Astyanax mexicanus: one gene and its partner. The protein of the gene in region 2 binds, or shares a complex with, the protein of the main gene of each other region. Links are inferred from orthologs where the notes say so. Each region holds a gene or a part of one and is shown on either strand. Other genes may lie near its edges. The genes, in order: spata5l1 and cyclin-dependent kinase 2-interacting protein.

The links.
Region 1: cyclin-dependent kinase 2-interacting protein (region 2) and spata5l1 share a complex: the UniProt entries of both Homo sapiens proteins name them as parts of the 55LCC heterohexameric ATPase complex. The link is inferred for Astyanax mexicanus from reciprocal best matches to the Homo sapiens genes CINP and AFG2B.

What each region holds. Positions count from the first base shown.
Region 1 is NC_064416.1:44,361,684-44,376,684, reverse strand, and holds the start of spata5l1 (spermatogenesis-associated protein 5-like protein 1), read right to left. Parts: upstream 7,624-15,001; 5' UTR 7,516-7,623; intron 6,059-7,515; 5' UTR 6,054-6,058; coding exon 4,878-6,053; intron 2,631-4,877; coding exon 2,445-2,630; intron 929-2,444; coding exon 761-928; intron 1-760. UniProt on the Homo sapiens protein: ATP-dependent chaperone part of the 55LCC heterohexameric ATPase complex which is chromatin-associated and promotes replisome proteostasis to maintain replication fork progression and genome stability.
Region 2 is NC_064421.1:48,594,699-48,610,827, reverse strand, and holds cyclin-dependent kinase 2-interacting protein, read left to right. Parts: upstream 1-8,548; 5' UTR 8,549-8,675; coding exon 8,676-8,682; intron 8,683-9,831; coding exon 9,832-10,003; intron 10,004-10,513; coding exon 10,514-10,646; intron 10,647-10,891; coding exon 10,892-11,021; intron 11,022-12,107; coding exon 12,108-12,310; 3' UTR 12,311-12,391; downstream 12,392-16,129. Other genes in the region: haus2 (HAUS augmin-like complex subunit 2), read right to left, coding at 214-283, 383-478, 1,039-1,119; adprs (ADP-ribosylhydrolase ARH3), read left to right, coding at 2,996-3,182, 4,218-4,314, 4,407-4,614, 5,540-5,727, 5,977-6,077, 7,106-7,476; uncharacterized protein znf839, read right to left, coding at 14,559-15,281. UniProt on the Homo sapiens protein: Component of the DNA replication complex, which interacts with two kinases, CDK2 and CDC7, thereby providing a functional and physical link between CDK2 and CDC7 during firing of the origins of replication.

The DNA of each region.
Region 1 (15,001 bases), on a different chromosome or scaffold from region 2:
ACATAATGCGGTGAAGGGAACTCAAGGGAGTGGGACTAAACAGTTGTGTAGCTTTAAGAAAGTCAGTTATCAAATAGTCTAACTGGCAAAAATGTGTTAAAAATTTGCTAGCGAGCATAAATATTAGACTCTGGAGCAATAGACAAAGATAATGTCTTCTGATGAGTCCAGATTGACCCTGTTCCAGAGTGATGGAGCATCAGGGTAAGAATAGTGGAGGCTGAAGTGATGCACCCATCATGCATCAGGCTAACCTGTATATACTGAATATAGACCAGGTTATTCCATTAATGGATTTTATCTTCCCTGATGATATGGCCATATTCCAAGACGATTAATGTCAGGATTCATGGGGCTGGAATTGTGAGTGATTCAGGGAGCATGAGCTCATTTTATTATCATTATCATTTTCACACATGGATTGAGAGAGAGTTCACCACAGAGTCCAGACCTTAACCTCATTAAGAATCATTGGGATGTGCTGGAGAAGACTTTGTGCAGTGCTCCAAATCTCCCATCATCAGAAAAAGATCTTGGGGAAAATTAAGTGCAACTCTGGATGCTTGTGGAAATTATGCCACAGTGAATGTGTACCATAAACAAAGATAAATCTGAAAGTGTGTGATCTTTTTCTTGTCCAGGCAGTGTATTATTCAGTAGAGTATATTGGGATAAGTATATGCCTGCTACTTAAATATTCTTCAAAAATGGTTAAATCCCCTTTCTGAGACTGTGTGCAGGACTGTGTAAATCTCTGTACCTGCTTTAGTTTGAGTTTGACGTCTTCCAGCCCCCCTATTCGCTCCCAGCTGACAGGCTGAAAGTCGGCCACGCCCACACTGCTGCGCAGACAGGAGGGTGGGACTAACCTCAGAGCTCTGTCGAAATGCTCCTGCCCCACAGACTCATTTGTGTTCTCAGCTCCACCCTGTGAAACAACACACAGCAGCACAAAGTAATGTTTTACAATCAGTAATAGTCACATCTCAGGGCACGCAAGGTCACATACCATTCAAATTATATCAAACACTTCATGCTACAAGTATTTCTACTTTAATCTTGGATGCACAGAAGGCATTATTAATAAGTTGGGGAGCATATCTGATAGAAATTTCTGTATTTTTTAAATACTGCAATATATATTGCAAAAAGACAACATATCACAAGATCATGCAGCCCTGGTGGAGGTGAACTATGATATTGCCACTATCAGCACATAATTCATTATTAGCTTAAGTGATGCTGTGTTTACTGCACTATTGCACTAAAAAACTGTATTTACCATATTTCTCGCACTATAAGGCGCACTTAAAATCCTTTAACGAATTTTATCAGTCAGGTTGTAAGGAGCAGTAAAGCCACTACGCTGAAGTCCAGCATTATAAAGGAGTTTCAGTTAAGTTTCTCCAGTACCTAAGCAGAAGCAGTATTAGCATTAGCCGCTTACTGCGCTAAGCACTAGCTCTTTCACCGTTCAGGATTGAATATATCAAACTGTAGCCTGCGCGTTTACTGAGTAAAAACAAGCTACCCTTAAGAACCGTAAGCTAATATTGCCCTGGCTAACTGAAACACTCCAGGTTCCGCAATGTAGCACTATTAAGCAGCATTTACTAGCTCTAACTGTGGCTAGCGGTTAGCCGCTAATGCTGCTGCAACCAACCTCAGTGAAAATCTGCAAAACTAAGCTTGCTGTAAATAAACGAAAGCGCTTTTCTAACCCAAATAAACAGATTTCAGGAGCAAAATCCGTACAAATTAACATCCAGTGATTGTTTGACACTATTTTAAAAAAATAGTGTGGAAAATAAGTAAATTTTACAGTACCCTATATATTTGGACCAACCTTCTTATTCAAGGTTTTTCGTTCTTTAATTTTTTTTCTATTGTCAAGACTACTTTTCCACCATGACATTAATTCAGGGACACATATGGAATTACTTAGTAAACACTCAAAAAGTCCCTTGATCTAAAGCTGATGAACTGAGATGGTGAATTGAGGTGATTTGTTTGGGATGAGCTGGAGCTTCACAACATGAAGGAAAAGCAGCAACTATTGTTCAGCACCTCCAGAAACTCCTTCCTTCAAGACGCTGAGAAAACTATTCCAGGTGACTCTCCCTCGTGAAGACACTGAGATTAAAATACCAAGAGTGTTCAGATCTGTCCTCAAAGATAAATGTGCCACTTAGAAGAATCTAAAGTATAAAACATATTCTGATTTGTTTAATACTTTTTAGTTACAGAATAATTCAGTATGTGTTCATTTATAGCTTTAATTTCTTAAATGTCCTAAAGTCATAAAGTGCAGCACTGAACTATATTGATATGTTGGGCCTCAGTACGTTGGGTATAGTAGGTTTACTTTTTTTTACTGTTAACTCAATTATTTTACAATATACAGTTATATATATAGCATGTGTGTTTATGTGTGTGTTTTTTACCTGTGCAGTGTGCAGTATAGCCTGCAGCGCTGCCTCCCTACAGAGCGCGCTCAGATCAGCTCCAACATAACCAGTGGTCATCTCAGCGATGGTCTGCAGGTCCACAGTAGAAGACAGTGGTAAACCACGGCTCACACACTGCAGAATCCGGAACCTCTGCTGTAACGTGGGAACACCCACCACCACCTGAACATGCACACACATTTATCACAATATTTAATATTAGCTCACTCTGCTTTACATGGACAAAATACTGGGATATTTCTCCATTCATTGTTCCCTCCTAAATCAAGAGAGGTTACAATGCTCTCGTAAATAATTGTTTCAAAGACAGAATTTAATTGCCTTCTGGATAAAGAGTGTTCATGAGGTCAGAAAGTAAGATTGTCACACCCCACTTCACTTGTACAAGAGTTCAAAATACATCTAATAGAGCAGCAGTTCTCAAACTGGGGCCATAATGAGGCACAAAGGGGGATGCAGCATGATCATTTATCATTATGTTATGTGGATATATATTAAAGGGGACATATTAAGCAAAAATCACTTTTTTGTTCTTTTGTATTTCCACTTGGGTCTCAACTGCCTCTATAAACCCTTTAACACTCCAAGCATGGATTTTTTTTTCCTGTGAATCAGCTAAGAGTTTGGTGACAGAAATCATATGCTTTTATAAGCCATTTGGATGCTCCCTTATTGTGACATCACAATAAGGAAACCTGCATAGGACCAGGGCCCCACCCACCAGATCAGTTGAAGAAACATTACTTTGGTCTGCTTAAGATTAGTGCTGGACGATATGGCCAAAATTTATATCACAATATATATTCCTTCATTTCGGTCGATAAGATATAATTTTGATATCGATATAAATACTTTGAAGGCCTCAGAAAAACTGCTAAGAATCCCTGCAATTGATATCTGTACACTACTGTCTGAAAATTAATTTAAGTCTTTAAATCCTCTCAAAAAAAGCGAACTTTAGAAATACTTTAGAAATAAAAAATGGTTAGAATAAATCAATGCTCACTTTAATTTGCATGTAGCAAAATAAAAATATGAGATCTCTGTCAAACATAAACCTATAACCTATACACATATTACCAATATAAATAACTTTACATTACAACAGAGGCAGAGCTTCTTATTTTTTTGTAAACATATTTAACAGATCAAAACAAAAGTGCTTCAACCAGGATAGGGAATACAAAAAGCCTTCATATACATAAAGAGAACATGATATCCCTGTCAAATAAACAAACCTATATCAACTATAAATAACTTAGATACAACATAAACTACAAAAGTGCTTCAGATATTGTGTGTAGTGCTTGAAGTGGTGGAACAGACCGGACCGGAGCGCAGTCGAGCTTCATCGCGGGACATTCTAGGTGCGGAGCGGAGCTGAGATCCGCTCGGTTAGGGTCGGTTTCGCTTCATCGCGGGTGGGTTTTAGGTGCGGTGCGGAGCGGAGCGCGGCCGAGATCCGTTTGGTTAGGGTTGGTTTCTCTTCAATACGGGAGATTTTAGGTGCGGAGCGGAGCACAGCCGAGATCCGCTCAGCTAGGGTCGGTTTTGCTTCATCGCGGGAGGTTTTAGATGGGGAGCGCAGCCGAGCTTCATCGCGGGACATTTAGCAATGCGGAGTGGAGTGGAGCCGACCCAGGCCTAGCCTAGCCTAGCCACGTGCCTGTATGATTACGTCATTATGCACTGACGTAGCCCGGCTACGTAGGCTGTTTGTGTTCAGCTCTGCAGTGAACTGACACCTCAAAAAAAACGCCTGTCTGTGAAAGATTCTGAAAATAACACATATCGATACGCCACAAAAATGATATCACCGTTATTAAAACATTTCTTATCGTGATGAATACCGATATCAAAATATTGTCTAGGGCTACTTAAGATCCTCGTACACATCAGGATTAGAGATCAGACTTCTTCTGAAGAAGGGATCTGTATCTACTCTCCGTAGCAAGTCAGTAGGAAGATGGAAGTACAGCTATGCATCAGAGGCAAAAGCTTTTATGGATTTATTGCAAGTGACGGAGCCCTTAAACGGCTCACTCTAAAAGGGACTGAAACTGGTAAGAACAGAGGTGGTGGGATGCCTTTATGCTAGAGTGAATTTGTGCAAAGAACTTCATGAACTTGTTTTGTTTTGGCCATAGACCTGTTCTAACTTGTGTTTTTTACTGGAGGTAAAGTGGGTGGCTAGGGGCCACAGTTTAAGAATGAAAAAGTTTGAGAATTGTTGCAATGGGAAGCTTTAATCTATTAGTAGTGTAGAGATGACAGCGCAAATTTAGCGAAAATAGTTGTCTGATGCGAACCACACAACATTCAAGTACAATTTAAATGGATTTAATTAGACAACACTTCATGCATCCATGTGTTAAAAAGAAATTTTATTTTTAAAATTATGAACTTTACCTCTCTGTCGAACCGGCCAGGTCTCCTGAGGGCCGGGTCCAGTGTGTCAGGCTGATTGGTCGCTGCGATGATGATGAAACTTTCATCGCTGCCGATCCCATCCATGAGCGTCAGCAGCTGAGCTACGATACGATTTTCTGGAGTGCTGCCAGATTCACTCCTCCTCGGACAGAGAGCATCGATCTCATCAATAAACAAAACACATGGACCGTCCAGCGCCGCCGCCCGAGCACGGTCGAACGCCCTGCGCAGGTTCTCTTCGCTCTCTCCAGGGCGTGACCCCACCACCACAGGGCCGTTTATGGTCACCAGCGCTGCTCCGACTTTCTGCACCACATTTCGGACCAGCTGGGTCTTTCCCACCCCTGGCGGCCCCACCAACAGCGCCCCCCGTGGACAGGGCAGGCCTAGACGCTTTAAGCTGCCTGGATAGTGCAGCGGAACCGTTAGCATCTCTTTTAGAGAAGAAAGCACCTCCTCGACTCCGCCCAAGGGCACAGAAGGAGTCTTTCTCAAAGCCTGTCTGTACTTCTGAACTGTCTGAACCGAGCTCAAGTCCAGGCGGGTCTCGGCAGTGACCAGTCCAGCTTTTTGCGAGCCAGAGTTCACCTTCTCCACCTCTATGAACTGAATCTGAGTCCCAGCTCTCGCAACACTCACCAAGTGCTTCTCGTGCACATACAGACCCATCAGTAGCTCCTTTGCGAGCTCCTGAATGTACTGGATGGGCTCAGTTTCAGAACTCTGCACCAGAACCTTCACAGACAAGCGCTTAAGACGTGGGCAGGTTAGTGGCTTAATTTTCATCCTCTGGAGGCACTGGAGTTTCATTAAATTGATATTGAATCCAGCGTAGCTGTTTTCAGACTGAGGCGTTGGTTGGGTGCTGAGCTTCATTGCATCATAGTTGATGAGGTTTACTCCAGCGCAGGTGGTTTGGAACTGCAGGTATCCATTAGCGAGGTCACTCCGAGGCCATGCGGTGCAGAGGCAGGACCCCCGGGGCAGCAGGATGAGAAGCGGAGAACCCAGCTTCAGCCCCAGCTCCTCCATCACTGCAGGACCCAGACGACATCTCTGAGTGCCAGCGTCCACAGAGTCTGGCGGCAACACCACCAGATCTCCGTCTTCCACAGGAGGCATCTTCTGGATCTGGGGGGTTACAACAGCATCCATAAGACCTAGAACATAACACACAACAGGTCACAGAAGGGTCATATTATTCAGAGCAGATACAATTCACACAGCATACTTAAAACACAAACACATGATGCATTTAAGATGTTCTTACCATGTCAGAATTCAAATAGTTACAAAATTGTTTTGTAAGGCCCCCCCAGATATTTGGTCTTTGTCCATTCTTTGCTGAGCAGAGTGAAGATATTTTCAAACGTTCTGATTGGCTCTTTGAGTTATGTAAAACCATCAGATTGCTTTGAGCTGTTAGATAAAGAAGTGCACGTTCTGTCTGTGTGAACATTAGAAGCAGGTACAGTATCCCACAAAAGTGAGCACAGCCCTCACACATTTGTAAATATTTTATTATAACACTAAATATATGACACTTTGATACAGTGTAAAGTAGTCAGTGTACAGCTCTGTGGAGTCAAATGCTTGTCTCGCTGTGTCCTACCTGGAGAAAAATGAGAACAGCATCTAAGCAGCAAACACCAATTACTGTGTCTAACTTGTGCAATAGAGCATATGAGAAATCTGGGAATCTTTTTAAATACTTAAATATTAGGTGTTTTAGGTCCATTTATAGTGTTTACGGAACTATTTAAAATACCTAGTTTTAAGTAAGCCGTGTTAAAGTTGTTGGTGTATATCCTTTTTTTTTTTTTTTTCTATTTTTTCCCATTTGCTCCCCAATTTACACAGCCAATTACCCAACCCATTCATTAGGGACTTCCCCTATCACTAGCGATACCTCAACACACCAGGAGGGTGAAGACTAACACATGCTTCCTCAGATACATGTGAAGTCAGCCACCGCTTCTTTTCGAGCTGCTGCTGATGCAGCATTGCCGAGTAGCCAGCACGCTTGGAGGAAAGCACAGCGGCTCGGTTCTGGTACATCAGCTCACAGACGCCCTGTGCTGCAGACATCACCATAGGAGTGATGTGGGGAAAGAGCGCCATCTACCCACCCGGAGGGAGCTCCCTCTAACGCCAGCAGCTTGATGGCAAAGCTGCATGAGCTGGGGTTCGAACCGGCGACCTCCTGCTCATAGTGGCAGCGCTTTAGACCGCTGGACCACTCGGCGCCGGTGTATATCTTATATCTTTTAAGGTCTATAATTTAAATACTTCAGCTGTTTTTCTAATAATTAAGTCTGATTTCGTCATATATTATGTACTTTTGTGGGACAAAGTAAAAGCAACAGTAATCAAAGCATTAATTTAAAGACTTAATGTTTTATATTATATATATTTATATATATATATATATACTCCTAACAGTGTGGGTTATAAAGTGGAGAAAGTGACACTGTGCACTAGAGAGGGGCCCTAGTTAGACAGCTGATTTCTAATTAGAGCGCGACCTCCAATACACTACACACACAGCTCCGGCCACGCGCTCCGTATAAACACCCTGACTATATCCCACTGATCCAGTGATGATAATTAATCTTACCTTCAGCCGCCCCGCGCGGCTTCACTCCGCGACATGCTGCTGTGTTTACCTGTCCTGTAGGGAAAGCATGGAGCCCGCGCTCTTACTCTACCGCTGAGCAAACACTCACTGCTGCCCCCACCGGCCTGGAGTGAGAGCAGAAGCGAGGCTTTTGGGTAATCAAATCAAATGAATCAATTGGTTCGGAAAAAGATTCGATCTAGTGAGTCGTTCGAATCACTCCTTTATTACAGTGGCATCTGCTGGTCAATCAGGGTCATTATAACGACTCCTTTTCTGACTGTTTAAGGCTAAATGCAAAAATAGAAAATTGTATGTAAAAAAAAATCATTATTTCTTTTTTTATGTAGTGCAGTGTACAAGAAATAAGTTTTCATCCATTTTTCCAATTTATTTTTTCATCTCTGCACCTTACAAATGTATTTTTAGGGAAAAAAAGAACAAAGAATATATATTTTTCCTCATTTTTCCATTTTTGCATTTTGCAAGGATTATTATTATACCTTAAGATTTGTGTTGCAAGGTACACAATTTACAACTCTGAAAATTGAGAGAAGATTCACTTTTTCATTCTGTTTGCCAAAGGTTGAAATAAAAATTTATATAAATGACAAATTGGATGAATAACCATTTCTTCTTCATTCTACTGAATATAAAAAAAATAATGATTAAGTTCTATTACCAATTTTCTATTTTCGAATTTTGCTTGATGCAGTCACAGAAATTAAACTGCTAAACTTTACACTGACCAATTTATCTTTAAGACCAAAATTATCCCAGATCCCCCAATTAAGACTTCAAACCCCCTTAAGGGATAAAACAATAGTTTGGTCAAAACATTTAAATATACTTCAAACATATAAAGTTAAAAACTACAAAAACAATGTATCTGTGCCTGGAAGAATATTGTGATACGATTTCAATCTCCCCTAAAGTGGATCATACCATTCCATCTTAATAATAATCATTCCTCTTCTTTACCTGCTGCTGCCTCATTATTTGTCATGTGGCTAATTGTGTCTAGGTTAAGGTACACAAGCTGCTCGAGATACAGCATTACAAGTAAGTAGCTTCTATCTACTTATCTTTTTATAAATAAGCACTTTAAACACACTTTTCCTTACAGAAATAACTCACATGAATTTACTATCCCACCTTAAATGCTGCCAATTTACCATTCCGCCTTAAATGCTGCTGTAGCGGCACTCAGGCTTCAGGCGTTTTTAAGGTAGAACCGAAGATTCAAATGGGAATCCACGTTCTGTTTTATTTGAACTGTTTTTCTGTGATTTCTGCACAACCTGAGCAGAAATGTGTAAAACTTTTAAAACACTTTATTATCTACTACAGTCTAAAGAGGAAACTGTGTTTTAACGTAGAGAAAATGTGTTTTAATGCAGGGAAACTGTTAAGGTGGAATGGAAATGTGTTTTAAGGTGGAATGGAAATGTGAACAAGAAACTAAAAGCTTTATACGCTGCAGTGAGTTAGACCTAGTGAAGAATTAACATTAGTTACGCAGATGAGCAGTTGAGCAGATGAACAGTAAACTGGTTTATTACAATTTTTTAAAGGTAAGACTTATTTTCTAATCTTTTTACTATGCTACTTTAAAAATTAACAGTAGCCAAGCCTTTTAAATGGCTTTAGCCGAGCTATATAAATGCATTCCTACATATCTCCCCTTAACATTTAATATTGTAGTCCCAGAGTCAAAATATGTGGATGAGATGAGGAACAAAAGTCTTCTCTACAGGGTTTTTACATTGTTATTTTATATTTATTTAGAATGAAATAATACATGATTCCTGTGGGAGAGATCCTATAGAATATAAATTAAAATGTAATGGTAAGAAAGCTGATTAAAGATAGCATCTGATAGCATTGTGTCTGTGTGTTTTTGCAGGATTAACTGTGGATAATATATTATTTATATGTATAAAGGTTATTGTGTGGTATATAAGTGCTACATTAGCTGATGTTTATACATTAGTAATGGTTTTATATTTAATGTGTTGTAGACATTACAGTAAGGAAGTGAGACACTGTAAGGATTATAAGACTTCAGTTTAGTGAAGCAGCACCTAAGCTGTACTGGTTTCCATTTACACCCTGGGCCAGTTGGAGACATTTTAACTGTACAATCATCCACTTTTCTAGTTGATCATACTATTATTGATTGATCATGTGGTGTTTTTGTGCTGTTGGTTCCGTCATAAGACACTTTGCAAGAAGTTCTTTGCAGTTTTTACGTCAGATAAAGTCAAATAAAGTTGATATGTGAAATGGTCAGTGTGATCAGATTACTTTGTACGTGGTCTCTGTCATTTATATTTTCTTCTGGTCTGAATCTCATCCATATATGGTTGGTTGTAGTCAATTTGACAAAATGTGTTTTTTTAGTTTAGTTTTATAGAACATAAGGGAACGTAACCACAGCATACAGTAACAGAATGGAACTGTTGTGTCGCTCAGGCAGTGGTAAAAGTCTATAAACACTGTTGAGGATGTAGATAAGGTTCATAAGCTTTTTATCACGTGATCTGCTATTTATAGCAGAGATAGAGGGCCATGCTGAAACTGTGGAGAAGGAGAAAGCAAGGACAGTGTTTCTATTACACACCAGTATTCTGATAATACACCACCCATCTCTGTGTGTTTCCCTCTTCCAGAGGAGCCTGTGAGCAATACGAGTGGAAAAATCAACCAATCCTTTTATGGAGCGTGCCCTGCAGTTTCTCAGACCGTGTGTGTGTGTGTGTGTGAGTGATTGAGAGAGAGAGAGAAAGAGAGAGAGAGAGAGAGAGAGAGCGTTGTATAAAGAGCATTAAAGGGCTCATATCATAGATAAATGAAAAAAAAGATAATTAAAGAGTATTCTACAATGAGTATGATATATAACTATATATAACTAATCTACAAAAGCATCACCTTTGGAATAGAGTGTGTTTGTGATGTCACACAGTAAAATCCATAGTATTAAAAACACAATGAAAACATATTTTTCCCTTTTGAGTATTAACATATACTATTTCTATACTAGCATTAGTTAAATGTGTAATTTAATATTTTTTTTCTTTACAAACATGAATTAAGTAAAGAACTTAACTAATTTTAATAAATTACTTTTTATGTATAGAAATCAAAGATTTATGTTTATCATATGTACTGTTGTACAGTAAAAAAAAAATAATAGTTATTTCTTTTTTCATCCACCATCCAGTTAAAATATGTAATGTTAAAATTCTTTAAATGTTAAATGTATATTTTTAAACTTGATGTGAATATTTAAGTTGTAATACAAATGACATATCTGCACTGCATAATGCTATCTATTCTAATCGCCAGGTAACATATAAATATAAAATCACACACACACACAGGACTTAAAGGAAGAACAAGAATAAAAACTCTCTACATAAAAAAAGTAATTAAAAATGTAACCAAATGGGCACAGAGTGTTCCAGCACTCTAAAGTGCTGCCAATATGATTGGAAGATTGCTGGTTCAAATCCAGCTTGCCATCAGCTGCCGGAGCTCTGAGAGCACAGTTGACCTTGCTTGCTCTGGGTAAGTAGATAGCATTCTCTCCCCACATCACTTTAAAGGGTGATGTTGATCAGCACAAGGCCTCTGTGAGCTGATGTATCAGAACCGAGTCGCTGCGCTTTCTTCCGAGTGTGCTATGATGCTACTCAACAATGCTGGATCAGCAGCAGTTAAAAAAAGACGGAGTCTGATTTTGCATGTGTCGAAAGAGGCGTGTGCTGGTTTTTTACCCTCCTTGTGTTGTGGCATCATCAGTGATGGGGGGGATATACAGCTGAATGTGTGGGAAAATTGGCCTAGCTAAATTGGGAGAAAAACAGGAGAAAATTTAAGTAAAATTATTGGAAAGAATCCATTCCACACGATCGATAGGAGAATACACATACCACTGAAAGCAGGAGGAGGTGAAATCAGCCCCATTACCATCTCACAATGTCCAATTTTTACTAAAACCTATTTTTTTTGGGTTATATGCCCATGTTCTTTTTTCTTTTTTTTTCCATGTTTAGCTGTTTTATTTTTTCAACTTTTTAGCTATATTCCCTCTATCACTAGTAATGCCCCAACACCAGAAGGGTGAACTGAACTGAACTGCTGCTGATGTAGCATTGTCTAGTAGCATCACAGCGCTAACACTCCGAGAAAAGCGCCTTGTGCTGATCAACATCACCCTAAGAGTGCCATCTACGCACCCAGAGAGAGCAAGGCCAATTGAGCTATCTTGGACTCTGGCAGCTGATGGCAAGCTACATGATCGGGATTTCGAAGCACCACTCGGAGCCTGTTAAATGAACGTTCAATAAAACAATTGAATATTAGGAGTAAACTTTGACTTATTTACGGAACAATGTTATTCCTAGTTATTCCCAGTAATCGTGTATTAGCAACAGGCTGGTAAATATATGGACTAGAGAAATGAGGACTTGTTGAATTGTTGAATCTGTCTGTAAAATAGTCATTCATTTAAGTCTCTTTTATAAGTAAAATTATGTGTATTTTTAACACCAGAATGGTGTAAATTGCATCTAATTCATAAAAAAAATTATGCCCCCAACACCCCCCCATGGAATGTTCTCAGAACATTCCTGGAACATATTAAAGCAATCATACGCTAGAGGTTCGTGCTATAATGTGTAAAATTGGCCCTGCTGTGCTGCAGTCGCGCCTGTATTAAACAAGTATATTATTGCGATTATACCACAGTTCCAGTATCGCTGTTTAATGTAGGATTTTGAGTTAAAAAGAACAAGAAAATATGATCTGTTTGGTTATAAAACAGTCAGGCTGGCTTGAAAACACTGCATCGTTGCTAGGTTACCTGTTTGTGGTGCAGTAATACATGAAGAGCTTCAATTACAGTGCATTACTGGCTGATAATGGCATTCACAGAAAGCCCCTCGGCCAATCACATTGCAGGTTCGGAACTAACTGTGGTATAATATACTGTATAATATAACATTACGTGCAAAAAAAATAATAAACGTTTTTATAACGTTCTCTGTTCGCTGGGGAGTATAGACACAGTGATCTGAGTTTGTTATTGTAAGGTCAAATTTCCAGATTTTGCTTGAAGGTGGGTAAAACTAAGTTAAGAGACTCAAAATGAGGAGTACTAAAAGTTTAGATTAGATTTAAGATGGATTCACTTGCTCAGGGATCATTTTTCACTGTGTGACTGTGAGTATGACTGGAGGCCCTACGCCTGTGTGTGTGTGTGTGTATGTGTGTGTGTTTGTATGTGCGCATGTTAGAGTTTCTTGGCACTGCGCTCCAGTTCTTCGTCATGCTGTGAGTTCTCGCGTTGTCGTCTCTCTGTGTGTAAGTGTGTGTGTGTGAGAGAGTGTGTGTGTGAGCCGGCTGTGTCCTGCTCTCCCTCTAATGTCACAGGGGCCGTGGGCAGGCCTGCAGGCGGAGAAGGGCTCTGAGAAGAAGGACAGCATATAGATAAAAAGAAAAAAAGGCAGATAGAGAGGAATAAAGAGGTAGAGAAAGAAGAAGATGAGCACAGGTGTCTAAAAAGAGCTAAAAAGAGCTGCCTTAGATCTTCTGCCTACAGGACGCAGGCCGGCACGGTCAGAAGAGTGTGTAGAGTGTGTGTGTGGAGTGTGTGAGGCATGTCCGTGCTGCTCCGCCGAGTGCCCTTGCTCCCACAGGAGGCCCTGTGGAAAATCAAACATTTCCATAACGCTCCTGCACTGTGGAACCAACAGGCTGCTAAAGGTAGGAGAGATTTTACACCACAATAATACTTAATAATACTTTACATTTAAGTTTTACACACTTATACACTTCTAAATATCTCAATATCACCCAATACCTTTATACTGCTTTGACACTTGTATGAAAAACTAATTTTTATACTCGTACAACTTTTACGGAACTTGCTTAAATACTATATATACACATTGTTTACACATATTTTACACTTTAACATATTAACAATACTTTAAACTACCTTTACACTATTTTGGCCATTCATTTACACTGCATTTATACAGCTACCACTTACAGCTACACATAACATACACACTTATTTACACTGTATTCATATACTCTCTACATTCATGCTCTCATATCTGGTTCAGGTAAGGTCAGTCTGAAGCAGTTTTAAAGAAGGTTTTGTATTTTTGATTCTGCTAAACCACTAATACACACTGACCCCACTTTATAAGTAAATATCCTGTAGATGAACACTGATGGCTGCTGCACGTTTAGTTCTTGTGCTCTGTAAACGTAACAGCAGTTATAAAAGAGAGGTCAGATAAAGGTGAAATCCAACCTGACTGCTATAGCCGCGATTTCCCCCTTCAGACCTTCATGCTGGGGGTTATCTGCTGAGATTGAGTGTGTGTGAAGTGTGTAGTGTATCTACTATAACCCCTTTGTTTTTGGAGGAATGATTATTTTGCATTATTCCGGCTGTGTCTCGGTGCAGGCCGGGCTTTGCTGGGTTTTTGCCAGCCAGCTGCTAATAATGTCCCGCAGTCAGTGGAGGCCGCCATGCCGGTTATGGGGAGAAATGTGAAAGCTGAGCCGGGTAGCGGACCGGTGCCAGGCAGGGCACAGGCCGCCTCACTCACTTTTTCAATACTGCTTCAGCTGACTATGTTTCACTATACTTACAAATCACTATTTACATACAGCTCTGGAAAAAAATTAGAGCACTTTAGTTTCTGAATCAGTTTTTCAGAATTTTGCAATTTATAGATTTGTTTGAGAAAAATGAACATTTTACTACGGACAAAATTCCAAATAAAAATATTGTCATTTAGAGAATTTATTAGCAGTTAGGGCTGCCACGATTAGTCGACTAGTCACTATTATGTCGACTATTAAAATAGTCGACGACTAATTTAATAGTCGATTAGTCGTTTTTTTTTTTTTTCTTTGTTTTTCTCTCCAAACTGCTGCGACTGCCTTTCTGTCCTGGACGCACATGCGCAGTAGTGGAAACCGGGGTAGGTAGTGGACGACATCTCAGGACATTATACAGACAGGCTCTGGTTTCATGGCTACCCCGCTACAGAACTCAAAAGTGTGGGATCACCAAGAAAATAAAAGTGAAACTCGTGCAATGCAATATCTGCAATGAAGAACTTGCCTTCCTCGGCAGCACAACCGCGATGCACAAGCACCTGAAAAGGAGGCATGTTGTGGCTGATTAAATGACGAAGAAGCTAAATTGCTATTTAGCTGCTAAAATTTGCGTAAACAGAGCGTTAACTTAGTACTTAACTTACTCATCTTGATAGCTTTAAAACAGAGGTCACTAATAGGCGGACCGCGATCCGGATCCGGACCCAGACGTTGTCACAAATGCCGTCCCAAACCTGTAAACTACAGAGAAGGATTTCATTCTGACAGTGGCTTCTGTTTTCAGTGCTTTTCGGTGCAGTAAACTCACAGATCAGTCATGTGTGGTGTAAAATCACCAAAC
Region 2 (16,129 bases):
GTATTTGGACATTTGAACCTTCTTTTATATATTTTCTTACAAAATCATGCTTCAAAATGACTTTACATTTCACACAGACTTTCATTTAAAGTTCTTCAAAGCTTCCTTTTAGCAAACAGAGTGTTTTAACAAGGCATACACTATCAAGAACAATAAATATTGAGCAGATAAATCCAGCAGATGGGAAAACAGTATTTGTGTAGTAGCACTTACTAAGATAATGATTATGGGTCACGTCTGCAGTGCTTTTCTCCAGTCTCAGCAGCTCCAAATCCAAACTCACCTAAAATTACAAACATACAATTATTATTTACCCGCACACTCCATAGAACATTTAGTGTTAGATGTTATTTCATGAGTAAATACCCCTTATGTTTCAAACCTGGTCAATTTCTTGCTTCATTCTGTTGAGCTGCTCCGCTTCCAGCAGGTGAGAGGAGAACACCTCAGATTTTCGTGGTACAGCATCCAGTTCTTTCTGTAAATGCAACAGGAGTACGTTAGACCCGTCAATCTGAACATAAAGTCCTATCTTACTGAGCCCCTAAAGTGGCTTAGCCTAATTATCTCATTCCCAATGCACACACACACACATATGTATCAATATGCCTTTAGTAATCATTTATCCCCCATGGGCAATGCTACAATCACTTTAACCAGACCAGGATATACTTAAGAGTAGTCAGATTATTATTTTTTTTTACCTCAATAACACAACAGTAAAACTAATTCAACCGTTTTTAGAAATTGCACTGGGATTGGGATTAATTGTAAAATGCTAATTCAAAAGGCAGAAGGTTGAGGACATAATGTTTAATCAATGTTAAAATGTCAACGTTAGCACAACCATTTAACATTAAATGTTGTTTTAACATTGTTTCAGAATTAAAATAACAAGACATTACTTCAACCATATTTAAACCATTTGTCAACGCTGAAGGTCGGTTGTGTACCAGCTATGAAGTCGTGGCCACGTATTATTTTTTTATTTAACATGATGTCACCTTAGAGGCTGAGTATTATGTTGCTTTATCTTACCTGAGACATTGTGCCGGAGTGAACACACCTGGATAAGACTCTTGCTGCTGGAGTCACAGAGTACGGAGTGGGGTCCCACATATTTAAAAGCTAACTTTACCTGTTTTTAAATGTAGAACTAAAACAGGAGAGATATATATTTAAATTAAGTTAATATAAGTTATTTTAGGCAGTGTTGCCTGTTAAAAAAATACAGCTAACCCAGTAGTTAACCTATTTATAACTTGCAAAGCTAAGCTAAGCTAACTAGTTAGCTAACCTAGCTAACGCTAAATAACTGATTAACCGACAGAAAAACAAAAGTTTACCTAGATGTTTGACTTTAACCCCAATTTTTCATCCAAATACCAACTTAAAACATTTCCAGTGCCAATAAAAACACCATTAAACTCTTTCAGCGGTGAGGTTTTAGCAGTGTAGCTTTAGCATTTCGCTAATTTTCTACTAGCCACTGTTTGAACAGCCCGCCTCGCTGAACTGCTCACAGTACCGACGGGAAGCTTGAATCAGTGAACCGATTCGACTTGTTTGAATCAAATGTATGATTCAACGATTTATTTTGTGCAACTCAGTTTAACTTAGTCGTAATTATACCAATGTAGAGCTTCACTGTACAACGAGATGACTATTTATCTGCAGTACAATTAAATAAATAGACAAAATGCCATGAACACGTAGGTGTTTTGAATCGATTCCATTAATTCCTTCATGAGTCGGTTCCGAGTGCGAGTCCGAGTCTTCAGTTTTCCAAACAATCTACCGTAACTAGCTGTGTATGCATGCAAATTTGTCAGGTAATATTAAACTGTGTTAAAGATTATGCAGTTGTAGTTGTTGCCCTAATAAATGTTTTTTTTTTTTTTTTTTTTAATGAAGTCAAAGTAGAATTATGGAGCTGAATTAAGAGAGAACTGTTTTTTTTGCCATTAATAAAAAAAATATAGCCAAACTAAAACTTATTTTCTTCAATACTGTTATTTTTCACTGGTACTGGCTTTTCCACAAATGCAAATAATTTATAAAGAACTGTATGTACATTCACTTAATCAGCCTTTTCAATTAAATTCAAGCTTTCTATTTTATATTTCACTATTGTTTACATTGGCTTATTTCTTTCCTATTTTTTTTCAGTGTCTCATTGTCTTGTATGTCTATACATGTCTCTTACATAAATATACGGCTCTTGCTTATGAATATTCATACATGCAAACATATCGCCGCTCATTGGCTAACAGCACTGCGAGCCAGCGAGATGGACAACAGTTTTAAAAACATTTTAAAATAAAACAATTTAACACTAATAACAGTCTTTGCCTTTTCATATGTTACTTTACAACATGTGTAATAATGCTAATCCTGCTAAGTGCAGTTCAGCCTATACTGACCTAGTCTTAGAGTCTCTGTAAAACACCAAATCCTCCGGAGATCCTATTTAAACCTATAGTTAGGTTTACAAGGTGGGCGGGGACATGAATACTAATTCACAGATTGATGTAGACACGGTGCTTTTCCTGATTTACTCGTTTTGTTTTTCTGAATATTTTCTTTTACTAGCTGCTGCAGAACAATGAGGAAGAGTTTGAGGAAGAGTTTCATCATGTGCAGCATCATATACTTACTGTATTTCACAAAGAACCAGAAAAAGAGGATTTTAGCAGATGGACACTTTTTTATTGTGTCGCCCAGCCGAACCCTGTTGTAGTAAATTGGACTCTTTTGAATTGAAGTGCATTTGTTGTAACACTGTTTTTTGATCACTTGATGTTGTAGTGAAAATACTGTATTTTTTGGTGCTTATATTAGGTGTTTTACGGTAAATAAGCAGGTCAGACAATGACAGCCCAGTCCCGGTAGGAAGAGAATCACAGATGTCACGGCGGACCCGCGGTTCTGCTGTGTGAGTCAGGGCTGGAAGAGACCCAGACTCGCGGTGTTTATTACAGCGGGCAGCCCGAGTATGTCGGCCGCGGCTCGGTTAGCTGCAGTCGGCGGGCCGGTGTCGACCCTGTCGCGGTTCCGCGGCGCGCTGGTGGCGGCTGTACTGGGGGATTGTATCGGGGGAGAGTTTGAAGGAGCGGAGGATGTTCCTCTGGACCGGGTCCTGCAGCACCTCAGCGGGGTGGAGGACGAGTCCCGGGGGGACGGTGAGGCTTTATTACACTTTATTTCATTTTATTTCACTATTAGTGACAGATCTGATCACACAATCACTACTGCTGCGTGTCTCTATATACCCTGTAGCATACCTGTAGTATGTAGCTAAAGCAGCTAAGCTATGTTATGTTATATATTATTGTGCTGGAGGGATTGTTGTCAGTGTTTATGTGTTAGGGATTTCTGAACCTTTAATTATGCTTTTAAAAATATGCACTAAGAGTAAAACTGAAAGTAAACCAATCCCACACCCACCCCCACCCACATACTCCACATAATACACATCAACACTGGAGAAACAGGCCTGTACTTTTTTAAGTGTATGTTTATTCTCATACACTGAATTAAAGATTTTGCTATTTATAGGTTTATGTTCGAGTAAAATGATTTAAAATCATTGGTGTTTTATTCGATAAACTACAGACAACATTTCTCCCAAATTCCAAATAAAAATATTCTCATTTAGAGCATTTATTTACAGAAAATGAGAAATGACTGAAATAACAAAAAAGACGCAGAGCTTTCAGACCTCAAATAATGCAAAGAAAACAAGTTCATATTCATAAAGTTTTAAGAGTTCAGAAATAATCAATATTTGGTGGAATAACTCCAAAAGTTTTTAATCACAGTTTAATTTTATGCATCTTGGCATCATGTTCTCCTCCACCAGTCTTACACACTGCTTTTGGATAACTTTATGCTGCTTTACTCCTGGTGCAACAATTCAAGCAGTTCAGTTTGGTGGTTTGATGGTTTGTGATCATCCATCTTCCTCTTGATTATATTCCAGAGGTTTTCAATTAGGTAAAATCAAAGAAAATCATTATTTTTAGGTGCCCTCTTTTGTTTCCCAGAGGTTGAACTGCTTGAATTTTTACACCAGGAGTAAAGCAGCATAAAGTTATCCAAAAGCAGTGTGTAAGACTGGTGGAGGAGAACATGATGCCAAGATGCATGAAAACTCTTTTTTTAATTATTTAAGAAGGCATGAAGTCAACTCATTATTAAATTTTCTCTTTTTTCAGGTATACTACAGTACAGTGATGATACGGCTATGATGCGCTGTGTGGCTGATTCACTGCTGACCCGGGTGGGGTTTGATGAGCAGGACATGGCTCGCAGGTATGTTCAGATATGGCGTCAGTTTCAGGACTGTGCTTATGTTTAGTTGTGTTTTTATTTTCATTCTGTTACTCTTAATTCTGTATTTCCAGTTTTGCGAAGGAGTACAGTCTCGCCCCGGGCCGGGGCTATGGGTCAGGGGTCATTCAGGTGTTGCGGAAGCTCGCGTCTCCTCAGCTCAGCGACGTGTTTCAGCCGGCTCGGGCTCAGTTCGGAGGACGTGGATCATTTGGGAATGGTGGAGCAATGAGAGTGGCACCTTTCGCCCTCGCCTTCAGAAGCGCAGCTGAAGTGCGGAAAGTGAGGCCTAATATTATTTAATTATATTGTACACATATTATACACAATGGCTAATATTAGAGCAGCTGAGTGATAAATATATGACTTAAGGCCTATTACAAAGCACTAGGGGTGGGCGATATGGTCCTAAAATAATATCACAATATTTTATGGTATTTTCGCTATACGATTTCGATACTCTTGGCGAAATGAATGAAACACTGAATTAAAAGAATAATTTTAAGAACAGGTTTGAAAGCTATCCGCTCCTGTTGCTATGTGTGGGGTTGTGTGATTGGTTCCTTTGTTTAACTTTATTTATGAATGCTTCGACTTATCATATTATCTCCTTTTCAGTATATTTCCAGGCCTGAATAAGTTTTGGAAAAATAAAAATACCCAGTTTTTTAACTACAAATCTTTGTGTTGCTGTTTTTTTTTATCTATCAACGGAGAGAAGCTATTTTGAGCTAACAAATACATCAGCTCAGAATTAGTTAAGTAATTAAGCCCTGCATGATGGAGCTCTCAGGATTCGACACACATTTTATTATTGAAAATTGTGTATTAACATTGCTTTTAAATTAAATTAACTTTAGGCCTACTGTAATCTATTTTAATTATAGTTTTAGTTAATTTCTGGTTTATTGTCCATGTCTGCACGGATGTTTTAGAAATTGTATGGTCATGAAAATTTGCCTGAAAGGCATGGAAAAGACATGTAAAATCATAGATATTTTTCAGTTAAAAACTGTATGAACCCTGACTGTAGTAAAGCGCAGCTTTGTGGAGTGAGTGTTTGTACTGACAGCATATTAACGGAGCCCGAATTCGGTCCTGGATGCGGAATTGAGCAGAATTGAAAAATATATAAAACGTCATAATGATAGTTATTTAATTGTAGCTGAATTATAATTGTGAAGCTAATGTTTTGTGTGTATGGCAGTACTCCAGGCTCGGTGCGATGCTCACACACTCCTGCTCTTTGGGCTACAACGGCGCCGTGCTGCAGGGTCTCGCTGTCCACCTGTCTCTGCAGGGCGTCCTGTCCCTGCCACAGGAATTCATCAACAGACTCATCTCTGAGATGGAGGTCGTGGAAAAAGAGGATTCGGCCCAGCGTGACGCTAAAGCGTGAGTTATTAACTCTTCATAGAACTGTTTTATTTGTGTTGTGTGGAGAAGGTGATTACAGCAGTAAATAGAAAACATTTATAATACTGAGAAGTATATAGAAATAGTTAATTACATAAGATTTCTGATAAGACTAATAACCAGGGTTTGTACGGGTGTTTGAAATCCTAAAAAATGCTTGAATTTTAACGTTCTGTTTTTCGAGCCTTGAAAGTTCTGCAATATTTATATATATATATTATTTTACAGGCTGAATTTAGCAGAGTTTCCGTACTGCGCACGATTACACCGAGTGAAGGAGCTGATAGAGAGGAGCAGCGTGAGCGTTGAAGAGGTCATATCCGAACTTGGTTAGTATCTTGTTTGCTCACGATGTTATTTCTTTGTTCTTATTTCGTTGTTTGTGTGCTGACTGAGGCCACCATGATATCCTGTTCAAATGTATAGTAATAAAATAAAATAAACAAAAATAAAAAAATAGTTATATTACACTTCTAAACACTTCTATACTCATATACACAAGGTTCTATAGTACAGACAGTTGGAGAGATGTTATTTTCATGAAATTCTGTGTTCTTATTGATACCATTATTTAAAATTAAATCAGATAAATTCACTGAGCATGGCTTTAAATATTTAAGATTAAAATCATGACGCAACATAAATGACAGAACAGCAGTTTTACTGCTTGGATTTTACATTGCATTCTTAAAATCAGGTCTGAAGTAGTTAGGTATAGAATGTACAACTTTTAATTAAACCATTTAAAAGGTAAAATGTTAGAACAGAGCTGTAGAAAAAATAAGAAGCTAAAATACACTTTCTTTTATTTGTACAAGTAGATAGTTTTATCACCAGCACTAACCCACCCAGCACACCTACATTCAGCGTAATATGTCCCCAATGGTTTTATAGGCAACTGTGGTCCCAGCTACCTTGAGATCATTAACAAGTTCCCTCCTTTGCAGTTTTAGGCTGATCTGTTACCTTCCTCATGATGAAGGATGCCCTGTAGGTAGTATTCAGGTACAGTAGGTCACTCAGCCTGTAATTTTCTCAAAGGACGTCTGTGAAGCACATACATGGTCGTTCTGGACGGGAATAAAATCACAGAGGATAAAAAACCCCCAAAAAGAGAAAATCATCCCAGAACCCCCTGAGAAATGCTGTCTTTAATGCATGTAGTGAGTTAATTTGGAGCGTCTAACTGGTCTGTAGGAGCCTGAACTCTTAATGGTTGGTAGGGGATCAAATACAAATACAAATACAAATTGTGTAATAAGTGCAAATAAGTGCATATGATTTATACTGTGTGACTTTTTTTTATTTTTATCTCTTTTCAGTCTTTGTCTTGTGCTAATAAGCTCTCTGTGTGCAGGAAATGGCATTGCAGCACTGCAGTCAGTCCCCACAGCTATCTTCTGCGTTCTGCACTGTCTGGAGCCTCGGGAGGGCCTGCCCGAGCGCTACGGTGGCCTGGAGAGGACAATAGCCTACAGCTTGGCCCTGGGAGGAGACACCGACACCATCGCCTGCATGGCGGGCGCCATTGCCGGGGCACACTACGGCATCGAGGCGGTTCCCCGGAGCTGGCAGATGAGCTGCGAGGGGGTGGAGGAGGCCGATCACCTGGCGAAGCGTTTTTATAAACTGTACCAGTCCCAGTCCTCAGGAGACGCAGTTACCATGAGCGACAGCAACCAGCCCCAATCACACGCCAGCAACCAGCACCCCACACACACCAACTGACCCCCCGTCAGAGATCCGGCACAGAGGGTCTCCCTCTCTCATAAAGCTCAATCATCGTGGATTATGATTATGTCTCTGTTGTTTAAAAAGGTTTACAATAAAAGAATAAAAGCACTTCCAGTGGTAAACTGGCAAACTGCTCAGTAATACTGTCCTTCTTTCAATAATGTAGAAACTACTGCAAATGAACATCATGGCTACGTTCACATTACAATCTGATTTAACACGTTCACACAGCCATGAAAAAATCTGATCGGAGCAGAAAATCTGAGTCACTTCAGCTTCACTTCTAATGTGAACATCGGCCATGTGTATTTTTCTATTAGTAATCTCCATGACTTCCTTTGCAATAGACATGGTTTGTTTTTTTCTTTTTTTGTGTATTCTTTCACTTCACACAGATTAAGACTGTTGAACTGTTCAATATATATTGAACTAAAAAAACACAAATCACTGCACTGCAAATAAACAAATAAATATATTCTATTCTATTCTTCAAGATTTCCAAAAGCCTGAGAGCAGACCTTTTTTGAAGTAGTGAAAATCATACACAAAATATTGTCTTTAGCATTTAACTATTAAGTCTGGTAATAACAGTATCACCAGAATTTCAACCAAAAATCATGATTCTTTGGAAAAAAGTGGTCAAATTTAGTGTTACGGATTTTTTTTACCTCCACATTTGTAGATAGTTGAAATTAATATTAATATTAATATATATATATATAATAAAATAAAAAAAAGGACGAGAGAAATTAAATAAAAATGTAAAAGGGCAAAAGTAAAACCAGTAATAAAACAAAATAAAGGGATGATATGAATAAAAAGGCTAAAAGGTAAAATATAAAATTTGATAAATAAAAAAACAAAAGAAATGAAAAGGGTAAAAGAAAAAACTCAACTAAAACAGTTACAGGCTGTCTGGAGGTGGCTTGAGAGAGAAATTTTAGGGACTAATACAGATATACAGTATATTTTATATTATAATAGTACATTAATATGGGTGTTTTTTATATTATTTATATTAACTGGTAATAATAACACGGTGTAAAGCGGGTCTGTGCTGTAGGGGGCAGTAATGAGTTTAGTGTGTAATGAGGAGGATAGAGAGGAAGAAACAGGTCCGGCATGCAGTGAAAACAGTTTAAACAGGATTAAAAATATAATTTTCTCTTTATTAATGAAACAACCGAGCAAAAATGAACGGTAAGAAAACCTTTAACTACCTTTAACACTGAAATGTGGTTAGTGTAATGTCTGTTGTTGTTTCAGTGTTGAATAATAGCAGGAGTTGTAATAAACTCCTGCTATATAAACACTGTTTTTACTCACTGAAATGTAGAGGTGAGTAACCCAGGTCGAGAAAGTAAAAATCCACCCCGGGGTTTAGTACTCACTGCCTGGGCGGCTCTGCTGCAGCTCAGCTACAAAACCCTGGGGTGGATTTTTACTTTCTGGACCTGGGTAACCCACCTCTACTGAAATGTTATTTTTAAGATGCTGTTTTTTTATTTTTTTTTTTTCAGATGTAATTATTCAGTATTTCAGCAAATTTTGGGAAAGTATATCTAGATATGTTAATTCAATGTTCTAGATTTTCCACAAAGGCTGAATTACTGTTATTATACATAAGTGTGAACACAAGCTTAAAAAACAGATTAAGGTGTGGAAATTAGACCCTAATGCGTGGCCACAACTTATTAAGGCATGAGAATGAGATTCTTATGCGTGGCCATGACTTAATAAGGCATGGGAACGAGATTATAATGTTTTTTTGCGTATGAATGAGATAATTAAGAGATAATTAATTACTAAGGCATGGGAATGTGATCCTAATGTGTGGCCATAACGTATTAACTCTCGGGAATGAGAAACTAATGTGTAGCCACAGCTTATAAAGGCATGTGATTCAAATAATTAAGTTGTGGCCACAACTTATTAAGGCATGAGAACAAGATAATAGAGATAATTAATTACTAAGGCATGGGAATAAAAACATAATGCGTGGGAACAAGATGTGTGGCCACAACTTAATAATTCGTGGGAATTAGATAAATAAGTCATGGCCAGAGAGTAATAAAGCATGCTTATCTGTACATTAATGCCTGTAAAGAAACTGAATATTACATCAAAGTTCCTTTAATCCAATAATAATCTTTAGTAAGAAAATAAAGAAAAAATGTATTATTTTTTCATAAATAAAACATAGTATTCCTGTGGGTTTTAAAGCCTTTTTTTTCATATGACCTGATAGTTAACATATTTTGCCTTATACTGTGTTTTGTAAGCTTGTTTGCAGCATCATCCCTAAATACAGCTGTTTTTTCTTCTATGTAAAAAAACGTGTTTAATCAGAAAAACACTCTGAGGCCACGCCCCCTGGAAGAAAAGGCAATTTAACTGGAAGCGCAAGAAAACTGAAGGACAACGCTGCAGACTGGCACAACCTGATCCTGAAGTGGGAGCGCCTGACTGATGAGGGATCGGCCATCGCAAACAAAATTGTCAACTACAGAATAAGTGAAACGTTGGGTTCTGTTTTTGAACATAAATGTATATAATATTTACAGCAAGAGCACTTCAGTTTCTGAATCAGTTTCTGATTTTGCTATTTATAGGTTTATGTTTGAGTAAAATGAACATTGTTGTTTTATTCTATAAACTACAGACAACATTTCTCCCAAATTACAAATAAAAATATTCTCATTTAGAGTTTTTAATCACAGTTTTTTGTCATGCATCTCTGCATCATGTTCTCCTCCACCAGTCTTACACACTGCTTTTGGATAACTTTATGCTGCTTTACTCCTGGTGCAAAAATTCAAGCAGTTCAGTTTGGTGGTTTGATGGTTTGTGATCATCCATCTTCCTCTTGATTATATTCCAGAGGTTTTTAATTTGGTAAAATCAAAGAAACTCATCATTTTTAGGTGCTCTCTTATTCTTCTACAGAGCTGTATATATAAAGTATGTATTTTTCTGATGTGTCTCTGTTCAGATTTTCTGCTCTTCATGTTATCTGTTGTTTTGGGTACAGGTCTGTGAAGGAACCAGATATAGTGTTGGTAGATGAAGGTTCATCAGAAGCTCCTTCAGAGAGGAGAGCGCACCAGAGCAACCCGGAGCTGGAGGAGGAATGCGTCAATCTACAGAACATTGTAGATAAAATGGTAAGATTCTGTAAATCCTATTAACTTTATTTAACTTTTCAAATATCACTGTGTTCGTCTGCTATATGATATATTTAACTGAAATTACTGATCCCAACAACCAATGATGTATAAAGGAAAATCATTAAAGAAAATTATCAGGGGATTCCCAAACGTTTTCATACCACTGTTTGTGCAATGCAGAAGTAATTATGATGTTTTATGAATGCTCTGTAACATATAGTTGTGTATTCCTATCTCCAAAGGCCCACATTCTGCTGAAGATGGAGAAGATTGTCTCTAATGAGAGAGGAGTGTATAATTTGGAGATGTTTCAGTTTGGAGTGCAAGGAAGACCAGCGCCACTGTTCCAAACCTGGTCTACCCAACAGTTTGGTAAGAATAATACCAACACTGAAATAGGGTTAATCTGGACTCAATAGGCCATCACTTGACCTTCTTTAATTGCTCCAGAGTCCAATCTTTAGGATCTCTAGCAAATTAAAGCCTTTTTACTGGTTATCCTCACTGATTAGTGGTTTTCTTAAAGCTACACAGCTTTTATCCCTTCAGTTCCCTTCACTGCATTGTGTGCATGGAAAAGCTCTTACCTTCACTATTACACAACATAGCCCTGAGTTCTACTGTTGGTGATTGCTGATCACTATCATTCAGGACTTTTTTTTCCGGGCCACATTTCTTCCTCGTAGATGATGGGTCTTTTTTAAGCATCCAGTTTTTAACAATAAAGCATTGGACAGTTATTACCCCAATTTTACTAGTTTCTGCTAAAATCTCTTTAGATGTTTTCTCTGCATTATTGATGCATGATGCCAATAATATTTGACCCTTCTCAAACAGTTTGACATCTTTTCCACGAACACAGGATCGCAGTATATTTCCATATGGTTGTTTAAGAAAAGAGAAGCAGCTCATTGCACCAGTTGGGAGTTATAAGACTTTAAGATAAATCGGCCATGCAGTAATTATTATCCAATAGGAGGCAGGGTTATTAAAATATATCATCACTTAAATATGATGTTTCCTTGATTTTACCAAATTGAATTTTTGCACCAGGAGTAAAGCAGCATAAAGTTATCCAAAAGCAGTGTGTAAGACTGGTGGAGGAGAACATGATGCCAAGATGCATAAAAACATTAAAACTGATTAAAAACCAGGATTATTCCACCAAATATTGATTATTTCTGAACTCTTCAAACTTTATGAATATGAACTTGTTTTCTTTGCATTATTTGAGGTCTGAAAGCTCTGCATCTTTTTTGTTATTTCAGTCATTTCTCATTTTCTGTAAATAAATGCTCTAAATGAGAATATTTTTATTTGGAATTTGGGAGAAATGTTGTCTGTAGTTTATAGAATAAAACAACAATGTTCATTTTACTCAAACATAAACCTATAAATAGCAAAATCAGAGAAACTGATTCAGAAACTGAACTTTCATTTTTTTTCTGTTCACTGCAGCTGAAGTGTCTTCTAAGCTTTATGAGGCTTACAAACAGGAGCTGGCCCTGAAGAGAACCATCCTGCAGGAACTGGCCCACACCACCAACACTCACCTGTCTATGGTCTACCTGTCCTGTTGGCTGTATCAGCCCTACGTTGAGGACAACACAAAACTGACGTTAGAGAGTTTACTAATGGAAACAGGCCACAGAGCTCTGTGATTTCTATCTGTGGCAGTTTTTCCACACTGCCTGAGGACTTTTATTAAACAGGAATGGATGAATAATAAAGGGGGGAGAAGATGAATGTCTCACTGATGCATGTTTAGAAACCCAATATAACATATTGAAATGAATCTATGACCATGCTAGGATATTTACTATACCCTGAAATATGGTGCTATAATCATCCACCCCTAATTATCACATCAGGGTACTACTTTTATTATTTTACTGTTTTTATCAAAAGAAAAATTCACACTGTTCTCATTTCCCATTATATATCTACTAGATACAGATTATATCTGTCCAGTATCATTTATTTTACTTTAATCCTGGATATATGAAGATATCTGGAGTGCATTATTATTATTATTATTAGTAGTATCATTACTGATCATTCTGGATCACTGACTTCTGTTACTGTAAATCTGATTAAATTCTCAAATATCCTTCAGCAGCAGGAAGTGAATTGTGAATCTAACCTTTAGACACACTGACAGGAGTCTCTACTTACCACAGATGTATAGAATGAACTGCAGCCATTAGACAATGTGTGGAGAATTTTAAAACAATAAAATTTAACAAACACATCCACCTTATTTCTGGAAAAAATGTTTGAACCCTGAACCACAGGAATAGATGTACTAATATATCAATATATCAAAATATTAGGATATCATTTAAAAGAAAATGTTACTTTATTTCAGTAATTCAGTTCAAAATGTAAAACGTAATATATATCAAAATGTAATGTATATATTATATAGATATATTAAACACAGAATGATGTATTTTAAGTGTTTATTTATTTAATTAATGATTATGAAGCTTACAGCCAATGAAAACCCAAAAATAAGTGCATCAGAAAATTAGAATATTATATAAGATCAATTGGTACATTTGGCAGTGTGGGCAGTGTGCCAAATCCTGCTGGAAAATGAAATCTGCATCTCTATAAAAGTTGTCAGCAGAGGGAACATGGCATCTGCTGGTGTTGGTCCACTGTGTTATATCAAGTCCAAAACAATCTTACAGCACTCTATGCTTCCCTCTACTGACAGATTTCATTTTCCAGCAGGACTTGGCACACTGGCAATTGGTCTTGTATAATATTTACATTTTCCAAGACACTGATTTTTGGATTTTCATTGGCTGTAAACCATTAACAATCATCAACAATAAAAGAAATAAAAACTTAAAATGCTTCACATTTTTAACTGAATTACTGAAATAAAGTAATAAATAAACTTTTCAATGATACTCTTCATTTTTGAGATGCACTAGTATATTATTAACCAATGAAATAAACACGTAAACACATTTTAGTAGTTTTTTAGTGTGGATATCAGGCACTTCTGTATAGAGTAAAGCCTCAATTCCAAAAGCTCACTCGCAAAGATTTAATTGTTTTAATGTCATCTGCTCAACTTTTTTTCCCCCTTGGTATTACAAATGTCGAGATGTTTTGAAAAAACACAGTATGCCCAAAGATTATATAAAAAGTAATAAAATATTTCTTCTTCTTTTTCTTTTTTAAACAACCATTGAACTGGACAAACTACTATTTAACATGTAACAATGAAACACTTATCAAAAGAGGTCAACCGGGACTTCAGACACTTAAGACATGTTCGTCCCCTTTCTTCTTCCTGTGTGTGTTTCTCAGATCTAAAGTTTGTTTTTAACACTTTTTCCCACGAAGCACATCTGAATCAAACTCCATTAAACCTCAATCCTCAAACGAGGTTTAATACAAACGAGTCGTGAACCGGTACTACTCAAACTCAGCTCAGCATTCAACCAACCTTCTTCTCTTCCATGCTGTAGTAGAACTTAAACTTCCAGTCTGAATTATATATATATATATAATTATATAATACACACAAACCCAAATTCATGGAACGGAGGTGTGTACGCCTGCATCCCAGCGCTGCTGCTCGAGGGGGAGGTGGGGGGAGAAGTAAAACGTTTGGCAGCTAGAATAAAGAAATAAAGAAATGTGAAGGTAACAAGTCCGTGTCAAACTCCTAAATCTCAGGATCTCACATTTAACAAAAAGACTAAACTGAAACAATGGGCTAATCTACAATAATGATAATACTTTTGTTTTGTTTTTTTACAAATTTACAAAGAATCGCAATAAAAAGTTCCTTGAAAAAAACACTGGAAAAGACCACAATGCAGACAGACAGTGTGCTCGGAGTGGATGACCAATTACAGATGAGTTTGGGAAGCTGGAACTCCCTCCTCAAGTCGTTCTCTCAGTTTCAATACCGAGCAGAGCGTGGACAGTTTCTAAAGGAACCCCTTCCGGTGCCTCTATATGCATGGTGGTGCCATCAGGCCCGTTCACAATCACGATACCTTTAGAGGCGAGTTCTTCAGCGCTCTGCCTCACCAGGCCCTCTGCTGTCTGAATGAAAACCTCCTCAGCATGGCCAGGCTGTATCTCCTGACTCTCAACAGCTTCTCCCACAGTTTCTACCTCACTCAAGCTGCCCACGTCTGGAGGATCACAGTTTCCGTCCTGTAGATCTCCCGCTGTCTCCTGAGGAGCGCCGCTCTCGTGTTCAGCGTCTGTGCTCAGGGCCTGCTCCAGCTGTTCCATCTGATCTGAAACATCCACACTTTCTCCGCTGGTCAGAACCTCAGAAACCTGCTCCTGAGCGTCTTCCTGAAGTCTGACGTCCTCCGATTCGTGAGGAGCATCTGCCGTGTCCATCGGTTCCTCTTCTTCAGTCCTTTCTTCCTGTGCTTTATTATCCGAGTCTGTCGACTCTTCTCCAGCCACAGGATCAGAATTAATGTTCTCCAGACGAGTCAAAACCAACTGAGGCTCGCGCAGTTCTGAGGAACCGTCAGCAGATTCCTCCTTCTGGATGCCGTTCTGATTAACCATCTCTGAGTTTGAGTTTTTCTCAACGCAGTTTTCCATTTTAAATCTCTTCGCAGGCGGTAGCATTTTAGTATTCTGAAAAACAGAAAGAACAAGAAGAAACAATTAAAAACATCTCGATGACTAGGGCTGAGTATTGTTTCAAAATGTTCAATATTGATACCTAAACATTACTTTTTTTTGATACCCTTATTAAATTGCAAACAAAAAACAATACATTTTTAAACAATACAGATTTATTTAACAGCCAACATGAGTAACAATAATCAATCAATCAATCAATCAATCACTCTCATACTGTCGCCATGAGAGGCTACAGCAGCATTAGCCAACTTTAGCCACTTAAACTCCAAATATTTTTCCCGAAGCGTATTACTGGATGAATTTCATTTTTTAAAGTTATTTTTAAGTAATATCAGCAGCATCAGTCTGGCATAATTAAATAATATTTATATTATTGGTGTCAATCACTTAAAATGAATTAAAATAATCAATTATTATTTTGTTCCGGTATTTTACAGTAATATTATGAGGGGACCGTAATAATAGTGTGGTTTTGTTTACTTCTCGCAGACTAGATAATTTTTTACTGTATTATAATAGCTCAGAGTAAAGAGAGAGAGAGAGAGAGGAAGACTGTGCGAGTGAGTGAGAGAGTGAGTGGTTGAGAGAGCGAATGAGAGAAGAGAGACAGCACAAATGTTCTTTTTTTAGCACAAAACACAAAAAAAAACAAGAACTAACCGACACATTTTGGTCGGGGCCTTTTTGATATCGATTTTCGATACTCAGCCCTAATGATGACAGACCGGTTTCTTGAACATTAAAAGAAATTCATAGCGTTCTATACTGTAAATACTAAGATGACACAGCTTATAAGAAGGTCTAGGGCTAAACATTTATCTCTGGGCTTTTACAGCATT